Linked DNA regions of Rattus norvegicus. The protein of the gene in region 2 purifies or fractionates together with the protein of the main gene of each other region. This does not show direct contact. Links are inferred from orthologs where the notes say so. Each region holds a gene or a part of one and is shown on either strand. Other genes may lie near its edges.

Region 1 (4,298 bases), on a different chromosome or scaffold from region 2:
CTACAGTCGCTTCTTCCAGTCTTAGGTTTCTAGAAAGTGACCCAAAATCCAAAATTATTCCTTCCGGGGTCCAAATCCTGAACTGACTGTCATGTGTAAAACTGAATGCTAAACAAGCACACATGCTAATCCAAGCAACCAACCGGAAGCTAAGGAGCTGCCTCATTACATCTCTCTCTATAAACTCGTAGTGAGACATTAATTATAAGATGAGCAAAGTCAACGCCCCATCCCTACCAAAACTTAGAATTCTACCAGTAACGCTTAAATCAACGTCCTTTATTTACACTTGGTCCTTAGAGTCTCTATCCTTTCTAAACCTTAGGAGCTGGGTGAGGAAATGCTGCCCACCTGTAGACTTTCCAGCCATCTTCAATCTTAACTACTCCCGCTGATCCTCAAATTCAATGTGATAAGGCCAAAAGGCATTGCTCATGATGACTTCTCAGACATTATTAACCAGTCTGGGCTGAGCCTCTACTAATGAGACTGATACATTTATCAAAACAGAAGCCCAAAGGAACTCTTACTTGCAAAGTTCTCTTGTGAAATCAGTGGACATGCAAACTTTTCCGGCTCACAGAAAGAGGAGCACACAGAGCCGTTTCACATTTAACTATAGAAAAGGGAAGATGGGTGGGCTGTAGTTGGCACCGTCTAAAAGGACAGCTGGGGAGCAGGTGACCGATAAAGGAAAAGATAGGCAAATCTCTGGGCAAATTGTATAGCCAAGGGCAATCACCATTCTGGCTGGAGACTTGTTACATAATTACTTGTTAACTCCTGCCACATACCTACATAGCTTACACTAACCACTGAAGCCACTGTAAGTGCAACAGCCAAGGTCTCCCCAATTAATTTCATTCAAAGAAATAAGTGATCCTGAAAGCTATTCCTTTCTAAGGTAACTTGCTTGATTCTACACATATAAAACAGCCTCCGGAAAAGCCGATTGCCTCTCTAGAAACAAATTTCAGAGTTTCTCTTCAATATTGTTTTCTTAATTTTTTTTTTCAAAAGGAGAGATACAGAGATACATTCACAGAGCCAAATATATGATCACCTCGCTAAAAACGACTTCCATTCCAAACTGGAGGATGTGAAAAGGGTCCCTCCCCCATCCGTGCCTATACCGTTGGCGCAAAACGCAAGACCACGGTGTCCGATGTACTGCATTCCAGCATTTGTCAAAAAGTTTACCAGGATTTATCGAAGCGACGGAGTGAAAAACAATAAAACAAACAGAAACGAAGGAAAGCGAGAAGGAAGATGCAAGCGAGGAAGAAGCGGTAAAGCGCCCAGCGGCGCAGTGCAAGGCCCGACAACCGCGAAGCGACCCAGCCCCCCGCAGAGCGACCGCCCAGTGGAGCGCGGGGGTTGGCAGGCTCCAGGTCTCAGTAGCCCAGGTCCCTGATACCCCAACCCGAGCCCCGCCTCCGATCCCCTCCGCAGCCCTTCCCCCGCAGCGCCGCGGACGGCCGCCGGGCCAGCTTGGCCCGGGGTCAGCGCTGCGGAGCGCCGCACAACCGCGGAGGCCGCCCGCGCCCTTACCTCCTTCTGCTTGGGGTCCTGCGGGTAGACGTCGGGCGGCCCGAGCCGCGGGCGCTTCAGCGGTCTCTGCTCATAGCTGAGAAGCCCGAAGGCGGCCATGATCTCTCATGTTAACCGGCGAAATGAATGAGAGTTGGAGCTGGAGCAGCCGCCTCTGAGCACCAGGGAGCAGCACTTTGCAGACAGACTCCCTCTTCCCTCCACTCTGGCTCGCCGTGGCGCTGCAGGCAGGAGAAAAAGCAGGTTGGAGACGGCCGCTGCCCGCGCGCAGACGCGCTCAGGGGGGCCGCCTTCGTGGGCACCCCGCTGCGCCGAGCCCCGGGACGCCTGCTCCGCGGGCGGCGGCGGGGCTGGAGGTCGGCCAGGGTCCGCCGCGGCGCCGGCCTCCCGCCACCCCCACCCGGTCCCTAGGGGGAGGAGCAGCTGATGGGAACGTGTGACTTTCTTCACCAATGAACCCAAACCCACCCAGGGGGACACAGGCTGGGGTGGGGGAGGGGCATAAAGGGGGAAAAAACTTTTCTTGGCGCCTAGGCGGGAGGCTCGGTGCCCGCCGAGAGCTAAGCGTCCTCGGGCCCGCGAGGCGCTGCGCAGCGGCCCGCGCCCACTTCCTGGCTCGCCGTGCCCCGCGCCCGCAGCTTTGCACCCGGTGGACCCGCCGCCCAGACACAGAACGGCGGGCGCGGAGGGAGAGAGGCCGCGAGAGGCGAGGATGCGGACGCCGAGCGAGGCCGGTTCCTCCGAGCTCAGCTAGTGCACGAGCTGCGCGGGTCCCCTCGGCGGCGCCCGGGCGCTTTGCTGGCTGCCGGCTGCAGCGGCCGCGGTGGCTGGAGGGGGCCGCGCTCGCTGTGGCGCGGGGCCGACTTAACCCTTTGCTGGCCCTCTCGGGGCTGAGGAGGGGGTGAGCAAAGGTGGCCGCGAGCACCGACGGACACATCCGGAGCGCGGGCGTCTCGGCTCCCCGGGCCACCCCTAGACGTCGCGCGCCCCGATCCCCACCCCCAACAGTTTACCTGTTGGTCCCTAGCTAGCGGCTAGGCAGGGGCGGGCGGCCGGGACGCCCTGGCGGCCGCAGCCTCCATCGCTCCGATAGGGTTGGGGAATTGGATTTGACGTTGCGAGGTGTCTGGCTCTCCAGACTGCGGACGCCGCGAAGTTTGCGGCTGCCTGGGGGCGTCGCTCGCCGCCGCCGGCGTTCTCGCCCCCACGGCCCGGGAGCGCGAGCTCCCGAGTTGGCGGACGGCGGCGCGACGGCCGCACTGAGCATGCCCAGCTTGGCGGCCGGACCGCGGAGGAGTTGGCTGCGAGCGCCTCGAGCGCTCCCATCTGCCTCTCCGGGTTTTCGCAGCCGCAGAGCGCGCAGTCCACCGGCCCTGAGCCCCAGCTGGCTGCAGGATTAACCCGGCTGTGGAACCAGCACCAGGAGGGACCCCGGGCCTCGAGCTGCGCCCTCCGCCTCGACCCCTCCTGCGGTCGCCATCCCGGCAGCCTAGGCGACACCTCACCTGCTCGCATCACAGGGATGGGAACCGCGGGGAGGGGGCGATCCTTTCGGGGAATCTGGTCAATCCACCTGCCGGCGCCCCTCGCTTTCTCCAGGTAGACACGCAGATGCCGGGCCACCAGCAGTGAGCATTGAGACCTAGCCTCGGAGGCGGGCCCAGTGTGTCCTAAGGGACCCTGCAGGAGGCGCGCCCAGGAGAAAGCGCCAGCACTTGGCCAAGAATGATGGCTGCCATTTATGGAGTCTTCCTTTGGTTGTATGATCTTGAGGGTCTGAATTTGCTTCTAACAACAAACCCTCCAAGGTTTGACTTCAACCTCTTTATAAATGAAGGAAATTGTGTGAGCTCAGAGAGCTTAGATGACTTGTTCAAAGCTGCAAAAGCTAGTCGGAATTTGAACCTACCACTGCTGGAGCTCAGGTTTCTGACCTCACTCTTCTGCTTTGATCGGGAAAGGCTGTGTGCTTGATCTGCCCTTGGCCTGATTGTGTCGCATTCCCCATAACTTGAGGAATGTTTTAGACTCCTAGTTCCCAGCTCTGGAGAAGATGCACACAGAACTACCTGCAGCCTTTCTATAGTACCTGGTACATGTTGATGATATACTATTTGCTGGCTCTAACCCAAGGGAAGGAAGAAGGAAGTGGATAAGACGATGGCATTGTAGAAGACTAGTTCTTCATTGCTCACCCTCTGAACTACGAGTATCTCCAACCTAGCCTAAAACCTAAATGGGGCTCTATGAGGCTAAATCCGTCACTCAGTGTGAGCTAGGCCTTCTACAGTATACTTGCCTTCACCAAGATGGTTGGTTTCCTTCCACTGCCCACCCTGCCATGAACATTTCTCATCTAATACGCTATATGTAATAACTTCACGGTGCAGTTTGCCTTGTGTTATAGCATACGTCAAATCCAAATCTTGCTTGGAAGAAAATACAGTTTTTATTCATATCTAACTTTATTAGAAAATGTATTGAGCTTACCAAAAAGTGAAGAAAGTATATAATAAATCCCGAGTATTTATCATCTGTAATGATGTTTCACCATCTTTATTCCTCATACTTTCCCCATTCTCAGTGGACTGTAGTTCTCACTGATACAGTAAGGACAATATTTTCATTATTGCACGAGGTACACAGCATAGCATTTGGCACATCTCAAAAAATTGTCGATTTGCGGGATGGATAATAGATGGTTGAATGGGTAAATGGACTTAGGAGGTCATCCCAAGTAATACTTT
Region 2 (4,340 bases):
AAAATTTTAAATTTTTTTTGATATAGAGTCTCTCTCTAAAGTCTTGGATGACTTGGAACTCACTAGGTAGACCAAGTTAGCCTTGAACTGAGAGATCAACCTGCCTCTTGATTTATCCTGAAAGATTTATTTTTATCCTATTTGGTGTGTGTGCGTGTGTGTGTGTGCGCGTGCGCGTGTGTGTGTGTTGTGTTGTGTGGATGTATGCCACATATTATTTGAGTGCCTATGGAGGTCAGTAGAGGGTGTTGGGATCCCTGGAGCTGGAGTTACATACAATTGTGAGGCTCCCATATGGATTATGGGAACCAAGCTTGGTCCTTTGGACAACATCAAATGTCCTTAACTGCATGACCTTAGAGTCATCTTTACAGTTCCAATGGACCTTTTCAAGGCAAGGTCTCATGTAGCCAGCAATGACCTTGGGCTCCTGATCTTCCTGTGTACATCTCCCAAGGGCTGGGATTATAGAAATATACCATCAAGCCCGGTTTGTCAAGTATGGAGAATGAATATAGAGGTCTTTATGCATGCTAAGCATGTACTCTTCCAACTAAACTACATCCCTAGCCTTCCTAATCAAATTTTATTACAACTTAACTTTGGAGCCTGATCAACTACTAATCTTCCTGCAAAATTTCTAATGTATCCAGATAGATCTACGTATCCTCTGGGTAGAAAACAGCAACAAAACTGTACCACTATTTCCTTTGAGAAAATAACTTTCTAATTTTGTTTGCCTATATAAATTCTTCAGAGTTCAGTTCAAATGACATCTTATTATTGCTGTCATTTTGGCTAACACATTTTGAAAACCATCAGGTAGTTTTAAACACTGCTTCCTGTGTGAAGCATGACTATAAAGTAGTAAACAGACACCCACAAAGATACAAGCACCATCCTTAAACCATGTATTATGGATCTCAAAAAGTAAGCTACGTAAAAACCCGGCTTAATAATCTCCCCTTCTCAGAATCCCACCATACCCAGCGTTTGCCTCGGAGATTCAGTATTTATCAACTGATTTATATATAAATGGCATAATCAGAACAGGAAATGCAAAAGATAAACTGCTGGAAGAAGCTGGGCATGGTGGCACATACCTGAAGGCTGAGATTAAGTGGATCTCTGTGAGTTCAAGGCCAGCCAAGTCTACAGTGAATTTGAGACAAGCCAGGGCTACATAGTGAGGCAAAACAACTAAAATAAGGAAAAAGAGAACTTCTGGAAGACACCTGTCATTAAAGCACATATAGTTATTTCTTTATGCTTCAGTCCTCAACTATAAAATATAATACCTATCTATCTAAAAGGGCTACATATTGTACACACCTCACTGATGTGAACTTTAAACTACTGTGCTAATAGCTAATTGGGATAACTGAACTTCTATTTTTCTTTTTTTGAAGCAGGATCTCATGTCCTCTAGGCTGGGCTGGAACTCCAGAACCTTCTGCCTTCACCTCCTGAGTGCTGGTATATAGTACCACAAGTTCCCTAAGATTTAACATATCCAGAACACCTCTTGATTTTTAGCTCTTCAAATTTTTTCTTTCCATAACTTCCTACTCTCAGACTACTATAACCTTTGTACAGAACACCCACAATTCCTCTGTTTATATTTAGTTCTTTATTTCTGTAGGCTTCACCTTTATCATGTATCCTGTATTCATTTGCTTCTCTACTGCTAAGTCCTGGTCCAAACCATTCTCTTTTAGGAACACTGATTTCTGATTACCCCATTTTCACTTATGTTTCTGCTGAATATCTTTTTAAAAAAAAAAATCACTAAATTAGCTCATTCCCCCCCCCCCCCATGTTGAAATTGACTTCAACTTGAACTTTAAACCTACATTGCCTTATAAAGGCCTCTACCTATTTTCCATCAGTACTGGAATTGTTCCTTTCCTTGAATTCAATGTGTCTTCTGCCCCTCAGATATTCTAAGCACCCCCCCCCCCATCTTCCCCTCCAAAACAGGTCTCCTGATGTAGTTTCTTCTATCTAGTATCTTCTCTCTGTCCAAGGACCGATGGCTTTGTTTATTCTTGAATGTTACCTACTCAGAGATGATTCTGTGAACACGCGCCTTATGCATGGCAGTCAAGAGTTCTACCACTGAGCCACGCCCCCCCCCAATTTTCCCGAATAACTAACTTTATGAATGTAAGAATTGATTCAATTCTAGTCCTTTCTTTGAGCGGGTTAATCTCCAAGTCCCTGACGAGGAAGGCAACTTGCTATAAACCAACAAGTTTGTGACAGACTTTAAACTAAAATCTTACTGTCTCCAGAAACGTTAAATCAGGTCTCCCGAGTTCCAAACAATGGCTCGTTTTCATAGAGTCACAAACAGCGGTTAGAGAACCCGGATCACAGAACTTCTCGCTAGAGGTAGTCCCAGATATTCACACCCAACCCAAACCCACCCCGGGAAATCAAGTTATCTTTTAGAGTTGTGAATCGCCAAAGGGCTTCTGACACTGTTGCCCACTGGCCACCCGTAGCCCTGTTATCTTACACCTTGCGCTGCAGGATGCTAGCCACAACGGTCACCTAAACTATTATCTGATTGGCTACTTTTGGCCCACTACTCACCTGGCAATTCCCGCATAAGGTAGAAGGGACCGCTTCCAGCCGTGGACTTATCCGCTCCCACGGGGGCCGAGGTCGCGGTCGAAGGTGGAGCCGTGCCTGGACCACCTCCCGGAGGAGGAGGGGGTGGCGGCGGAGGCTTTCCAGGCCCGAACCCTAGTGCGCTTGGTGGCGGTGGGGGGTCAGTTTGAGCTCCGAACAGGGCTGTGAAGTTCTCCATAGCACTCGCCGCTCTTGGTTACCCGGGATCTGGCGTTAATTACTTTCATTGGACAGCACTTTCACAGGGTACCACCCTCTTGGTTTAACAGCTTCCCATCATTGGATACGCTAAGCTCCGCCCACCATCTTCCGGCAACTTACTTCCTTTGCCCTGAGAGATTGTTCAGGTAGTGTTTCACAGACTAATAGCCAATAAAATGACTCAGGTAGAAAAGCGACAATTATGAGGACCAATAGACTATCTAATTCATTTTCCGATCTATTATAGCACCCAATAAGAGATCTACATCCGGGTCTGGAGGCGTTGCATCTGATATTTGGCCCAATAGAAGCCTTGCTGTTGGGGGCGGAGGACGACGATTTGGGGAGCGGGAGTGAGCCTGCAAGAGTGTAGGCAGGGAAGATGGCTGTCCTCGCGCCTCTGATTGCCTTGGTGTACTCGGTGCCGCGGCTTTCTCGATGGCTGGCCAGACCTTATTGCCTTCTGTCTGCCCTGCTTTCCATTGCTTTCCTCCTCGTGAGGAAGCTGCCGCCGATTTGCAACGGTCTCCCCACGCAGCGCGAAGATGGCAACCCGTGTGACTTTGACTGGGTGAGCGCCCCCTGCCTTAGTAGCTGTCGACCTTGACCATCCATCCCTGCCCTGCAGGTGCATGTGAAGATGGGAGGGCGGGTTTCGAGTGTAGCTTACACACTTGAGTGGAGAGCCTAGGCCGTTATCTAGTCCTTACCTTCGTGTTAAAGATGGAGAAACAGATTCCAGGGTTTCCATCACAGATGAACAATATTCTTCTGTGATTCCAAGTTCCTTGGGGCGCCACTGACGAAGACTAGGCCCGTGGTAGAAATACCATTTAAATTTTTCTAATTTTTAACGAAGTGATCACAGTGTAGTTAGGCGATTTTTCAAGGTAACACAGCGTTCACTAAGTGCTGTCTAACCTTAATCAATTCTCTGATAGACCGGCAGACATAGGTCACTGACTCAACAAAATAAATGACTTTGGTGGAAAAATCGTCTGCTCTGGGCATAACAACTGTGCGCACTATCTTCCTGAGGTGGGATAGGAAAACAGGGAAGGTTACAAAAATACGAGGTGGGGGGAAGCCCATCAACCATCTAAGAAGCAATATTTAAGAACAGTTAACATTTACCGTGAAGGTTGTGGACATAGAGCTAATATTTTTTTTTCATATACAGATATTTATGCTATAACAGCAATGACCAGGACTAAAGGTATTAATATAACCTTGGGTAGGCCTCACATGTTCTGGGACTCTCAAACAAGATTATTAACTTTGTTTACATTAAAGATACAATACTGTTGCGGGGCTTTGGGTTGTACCATTTTAACCCAGCACTCTAGAGACAAAGGCAGGTGACTTCTGTAAGATTGATGTAAGCCTGATCTATATAGGGCTTTCTAGATCCATCAGGACTACATAGTTAGACCCTAACTCAAAACAAAAGAGCACCAGATACCCTACTTATTTCTATTCCTGTACTCTGGAATCTTACTTTA
Region 3 (4,010 bases), on a different chromosome or scaffold from region 2:
AATTGATGACTTTTAAGAGTTTGTGTCCGTTACCATGAAACAATTTGTAGGCCTCACTATTTTCCACTGTTATTAATCTCTTCTTCCGTACTTTATATTGTTCATAAACTAATAACCAACAATGACTATTACTAAAAACAAAGATTTCCTGAAAAGTAAAAAAGACTTATCAACTAGTTTTTATATTACTGAAAGCCCATAATGAATGGTACATGAAAATGCTAATCACATTTACTTTATATAAAAACCTCTGCCAGGCCTTGGGAGTACATGTCTTTAATCCCGGATTTGGGGGGTAGAGGTGGTGGGCGGGGATAGGTGGATCTCTGAGTTTGAGGCCTGTCTTAGTCAGGGTTTCTGTTCCTGCACAAACATCATGACACAAAGCAGGTTGGGGAGGAAAGAGTTTATCCAGCTTACACAGTCACATTGCTGTTTCATCACCAAAGGAAGTCAGGACTGGAACTCGAGCAGGTCAGGAAGCAGGAGCTGATGCAGAGGCCATGGAGGGATGTTACTTACTGGCTTGCCTCCCGTGGCTTGCTCAGCTGGTTTTCTTATAGAACCCCAGGACCACCAGCCCAGGGATGGCACTACCCACAATGGGCTTGGTCCTCCCTCCTTGATCACTAGTTGAGAAGATGCCTTACAGCTGGGTCTCCCGAAGGCATTTCCACAACTGAGGCTCCTTTTCTGTGATAACTCCAGCCTGTGTCAAGTTGGCCTTCAAAACTAGCCAGTATAAGGCCACAGAGGTTTAGGAAGGCCAGTGATAACCTTAATAAATGAATTAAAAATGTATTTACTGGGTTTTAAAATTTGTTTTATTCAGGTTTATTTTATGCACAAGTGCTTTTGCCTGTATGCATGTATGTACCATTTGGGTCCCGCGCACTGGTAGGTCAGAGGTCGGCCTATCCGACCACCTGTGATTGTGAGCAATCATGTTGGTTCTAAGGCCCTCTGAAAAAGCAGCAATGCTCCTGCCTGCAGATCCAGCTCTCAGGCCCCTAGTTGGTCCTTTGAGACTGGGTCTCACTAAGTAGCTTTAGCTGGCCTGGAATCCTAAGTGTAGACCAGACTGGCCTGGAATTCACAAGGAGCTGCCTGTCTCTACCCCACAAGTTTTGGGAAAAATAAATCCTATTAAAATAATTAATCTGGGTATACCTCCTGTGGAGGCTCCACTCTTTCAGTTCTCAATAAGTCCACATGCACTCTGCTTAAAAAATAATCCAAAAGTTATTACTACTTTGATCAGATCTTAGTCTTTTTTTTTTTAAAGATTTATTTATTTCATGTATGTGAGTACACTGTCACTGTCTTCAGACACACCAGAAGGAATCAAATCCCATTACTAGGTGGTTGAGCCACCATGTGGTTGCTGGGACTTGAACTCAGGACCTCTGTAAGAGTGGTCAGTGCTCTTAACCACTGAGCCATCTCTCCAGCCCCAGATCTTAGTCTTTATCAACCCAAGTATTAGTTACTTCCTCTTCACATTTAAAAAGTATACTTAAAAGGATACATCTCTTAGTCCTTTTCTTGTACATTATTCTGTATCCACATTCTCTGCATCTGATTGGATCCCTGGATTTTATTTCATTTTCGGTGTGACACTCTGGGAAAGAAAGCACATTTATTCAAAGCCTGAAAGAGAAACACTCCAGGGAAGCAAACAGTAACAACATATTAAAAACAGGAGGAAACCAGGGCACCAAAACATCCAAGTACATTCTTATTACTGAACAGACCAAGGAGAAAGAAGAGCTGTAGGCAGTACACCTTTTCCAGATAAAAGGAAGAAATCTTAATAAGGTAGAGGGATTTTAAAATTAACAATCGCTAAAGTGCTCCACGTTATAATTTTAAAGATTTGTACTCATGTATGGAAGGATTCTTTTTAATGGGAGGGGGGGGCGTTCCTAAGTAAAGCATTATTTAAATGTTAATCTTACCTCCACAAATATATATCATTGGCTGCTGCTTTGGTGGTTGAACATCTTTCTGGGTGTCCATTGTTCGTGCCTGAAATGAGAGCCAAAGACTGAGTAACAGGGCCTTCGCACAAAACATGCCCCATTTGATTTATCTTTTTCTCAGAAGCTATACGAGGTTCTGATTTTCCGACCAAAGAGGAAAACCTCAGTAGAATGTTTGCCTAGTGTGCAGAAGCCCAAGAATCAATACCCAATATTACGGATGGGGAAATTAAAAAAAAAAAAAAAGTAATTATCTACTTCCCCTAAACAGTGATGTGGGCTGGGTCTGAAGGATACAGCACATTTTCAACAATAGTAAATACATTATGAATGTTTATTACTCTTCAGGATCCTAGAGGGTATTACACACGAAGAAACGGAGGCTAAGGACATGTTGGTTTGTCCAGTATCACTCCGCAAAGGAATTCCGATTTGAGCTGGGAGCAGTAGCTCCGTCAAAGCTTGTCTCAACATTAACTCCACCGGGGATCTTTATTTTCGCATTTGGTTCTTTAAGAAGGCTTTGAGAGTCTTCACTTTGTAATTCAGGTTAGCCGAGAACTCACTTTGTAGCCTTAGATTGAAAGTCAAGGTGCTTGTTGATGGCAGAATTCTCCTACCTCTGCTTCCCAAGCGCTCAGATGGCAGGCGTGTGCTACCGCTCTCGGTCGTCCAGGGATATTTTAAAGCCAGGTGTCTCTCCTAGTTTTGCCTCCAATTTACCTCCCAAATCACCCGCCGATCCCTTACCTCCGCAGCTCCGGAAAGCGTCCCTCCTCTGTGCACGCAAACGCTTTCTCCGGCTCTTAGAAGCAAGAGACACTACCGGCGCTGCTTCGCCAACTTCCGGCGCTGACTTATGACGCAAAAGCCCTGTCCCTTTCTGCCTGGCAGTACCGAAGAACTAGGGCGCTTGTTGGGGACTGGTTTATAGTGTTTCTCTCCTTAATTCCTGTAGGATTTTGTTTTGATTTGCCCCTCTCTCCAGGGTAGCAAAACATTCCCACAGCTCGGCGTTCGAGAGTCTGTGCTTGTGTAACGGCAGATAGAGCAGGAAGCCAAAACAGGTGCTGCTGGAATCTTAACCCAGCCATTGCTTGGGCGAACACCAGCAGGCCACCCTACCAACACTTCACTTCCCAATATCACGGTTTTCAAATTGTTCAATACCCATGCAGGTTTTTGTTTGTTTGTTGTTTTCAAATTCCAGTTTTCTTAGTTTCTTGTCACCTCTCTTCTATTTTATGTTGGGGAATGGAATGATAGGGGAAGCCCGAGGCTTGATAGTCTATGTAGCCCAGGCTGAGCTTGCTCTTAAACCGGCGCAGTTCTCTACCTTCGCCGCCTCAATGCTGAAATTAATTGCGCAAATCACAACGCCTGCCCATCTTCCTTTTTGAAGCCAAGGTTTTCACAACTAAGGTTTTCACAAGGACAACTCCATCAATTACTTCCACTAGTTGGTGGCTTTAGCTTTTCTCGTAGTATTCTCCCTCTTGTGTTTGATCAATTCAATAGAGTACAGGTGGTATGTGTTCTCACAGATCAAACTTTTAACTCAGTAAAAATCTGTTGGGTTCAGGACGTTTACACTCAATTATTTCACACCATTTATTTTAAAAATAGAGTGGACAAACTAATAGAAGAAAAACTAGGGAAGCATCTGGAACACATGGGCACTGGAAAAAATTTCCTGAACAAAACACCAATGGCTTATGCTCTAAGATCAAGAATCGACAAATGGGATCTCATAAAACTGCAAAGCTTCTGTAAGGCAAAGGACACTGTGGTTAGGACAAAACGGCAACCAACAGATTGGGAAAAGATCTTTACCAATCCTACAACAGATAGAGGCCTTATATCCAAAATATACAAAGAACTCAAGAAGTTAGACTGCAGGGAAACAAATAACCCTATTTAAAAATGGGGTTCAGAGCTAAACAAAGAATTCACAGCTGAGGAATGCCGAATGGTTGAGAAACACCTAAAGAAATGTTCAACATCTTTAGTCATAAGGGAAATGCAAAT

The links. The genes of interacting proteins can lie anywhere in the genome.
Region 1: the proteins of Med19 (region 2) and Med12l purify together in Homo sapiens (affinity purification with mass spectrometry; 3 studies listed by BioGRID and IntAct, counting the BioPlex papers as one, with this or other methods). This does not show direct contact. The link is inferred for Rattus norvegicus from reciprocal best matches to the Homo sapiens genes MED19 and MED12L.
Region 3: the proteins of Med19 (region 2) and Polr2k purify together in Homo sapiens (affinity purification with mass spectrometry; 3 studies listed by BioGRID and IntAct, with this or other methods). This does not show direct contact. The link is inferred for Rattus norvegicus from reciprocal best matches to the Homo sapiens genes MED19 and POLR2K.

The regions. Positions count from the first base shown.
Region 1 is NC_086020.1:145,401,835-145,406,132, reverse strand, and holds the start of Med12l (mediator of RNA polymerase II transcription subunit 12-like protein), read right to left. Parts: upstream 2,816-4,298; 5' UTR 2,565-2,815; intron 1,773-2,564; 5' UTR 1,651-1,772; coding exon 1,552-1,650; intron 1-1,551. UniProt on the Homo sapiens protein: May be a component of the Mediator complex, a coactivator involved in the regulated transcription of nearly all RNA polymerase II-dependent genes.
Region 2 is NC_086021.1:90,167,348-90,171,687, reverse strand, and holds the start of Med19 (mediator of RNA polymerase II transcription subunit 19), read right to left. Parts: upstream 2,860-4,340; 5' UTR 2,816-2,859; coding exon 2,599-2,815; exon of another isoform or gene 2,410-2,598; intron 1-2,409. Other genes in the region: Tmx2 (thioredoxin-related transmembrane protein 2 precursor), read left to right, coding at 3,221-3,409. UniProt on the Homo sapiens protein: Component of the Mediator complex, a coactivator involved in the regulated transcription of nearly all RNA polymerase II-dependent genes.
Region 3 is NC_086025.1:69,240,038-69,244,047, reverse strand, and holds the start of Polr2k (DNA-directed RNA polymerases I, II, and III subunit RPABC4), read right to left. Parts: upstream 2,816-4,010; 5' UTR 2,733-2,815; intron 2,029-2,732; 5' UTR 2,020-2,028; coding exon 1,959-2,019; intron 1,622-1,958; coding exon 1,529-1,621; intron 1-1,528. UniProt on the Homo sapiens protein: DNA-dependent RNA polymerase catalyzes the transcription of DNA into RNA using the four ribonucleoside triphosphates as substrates.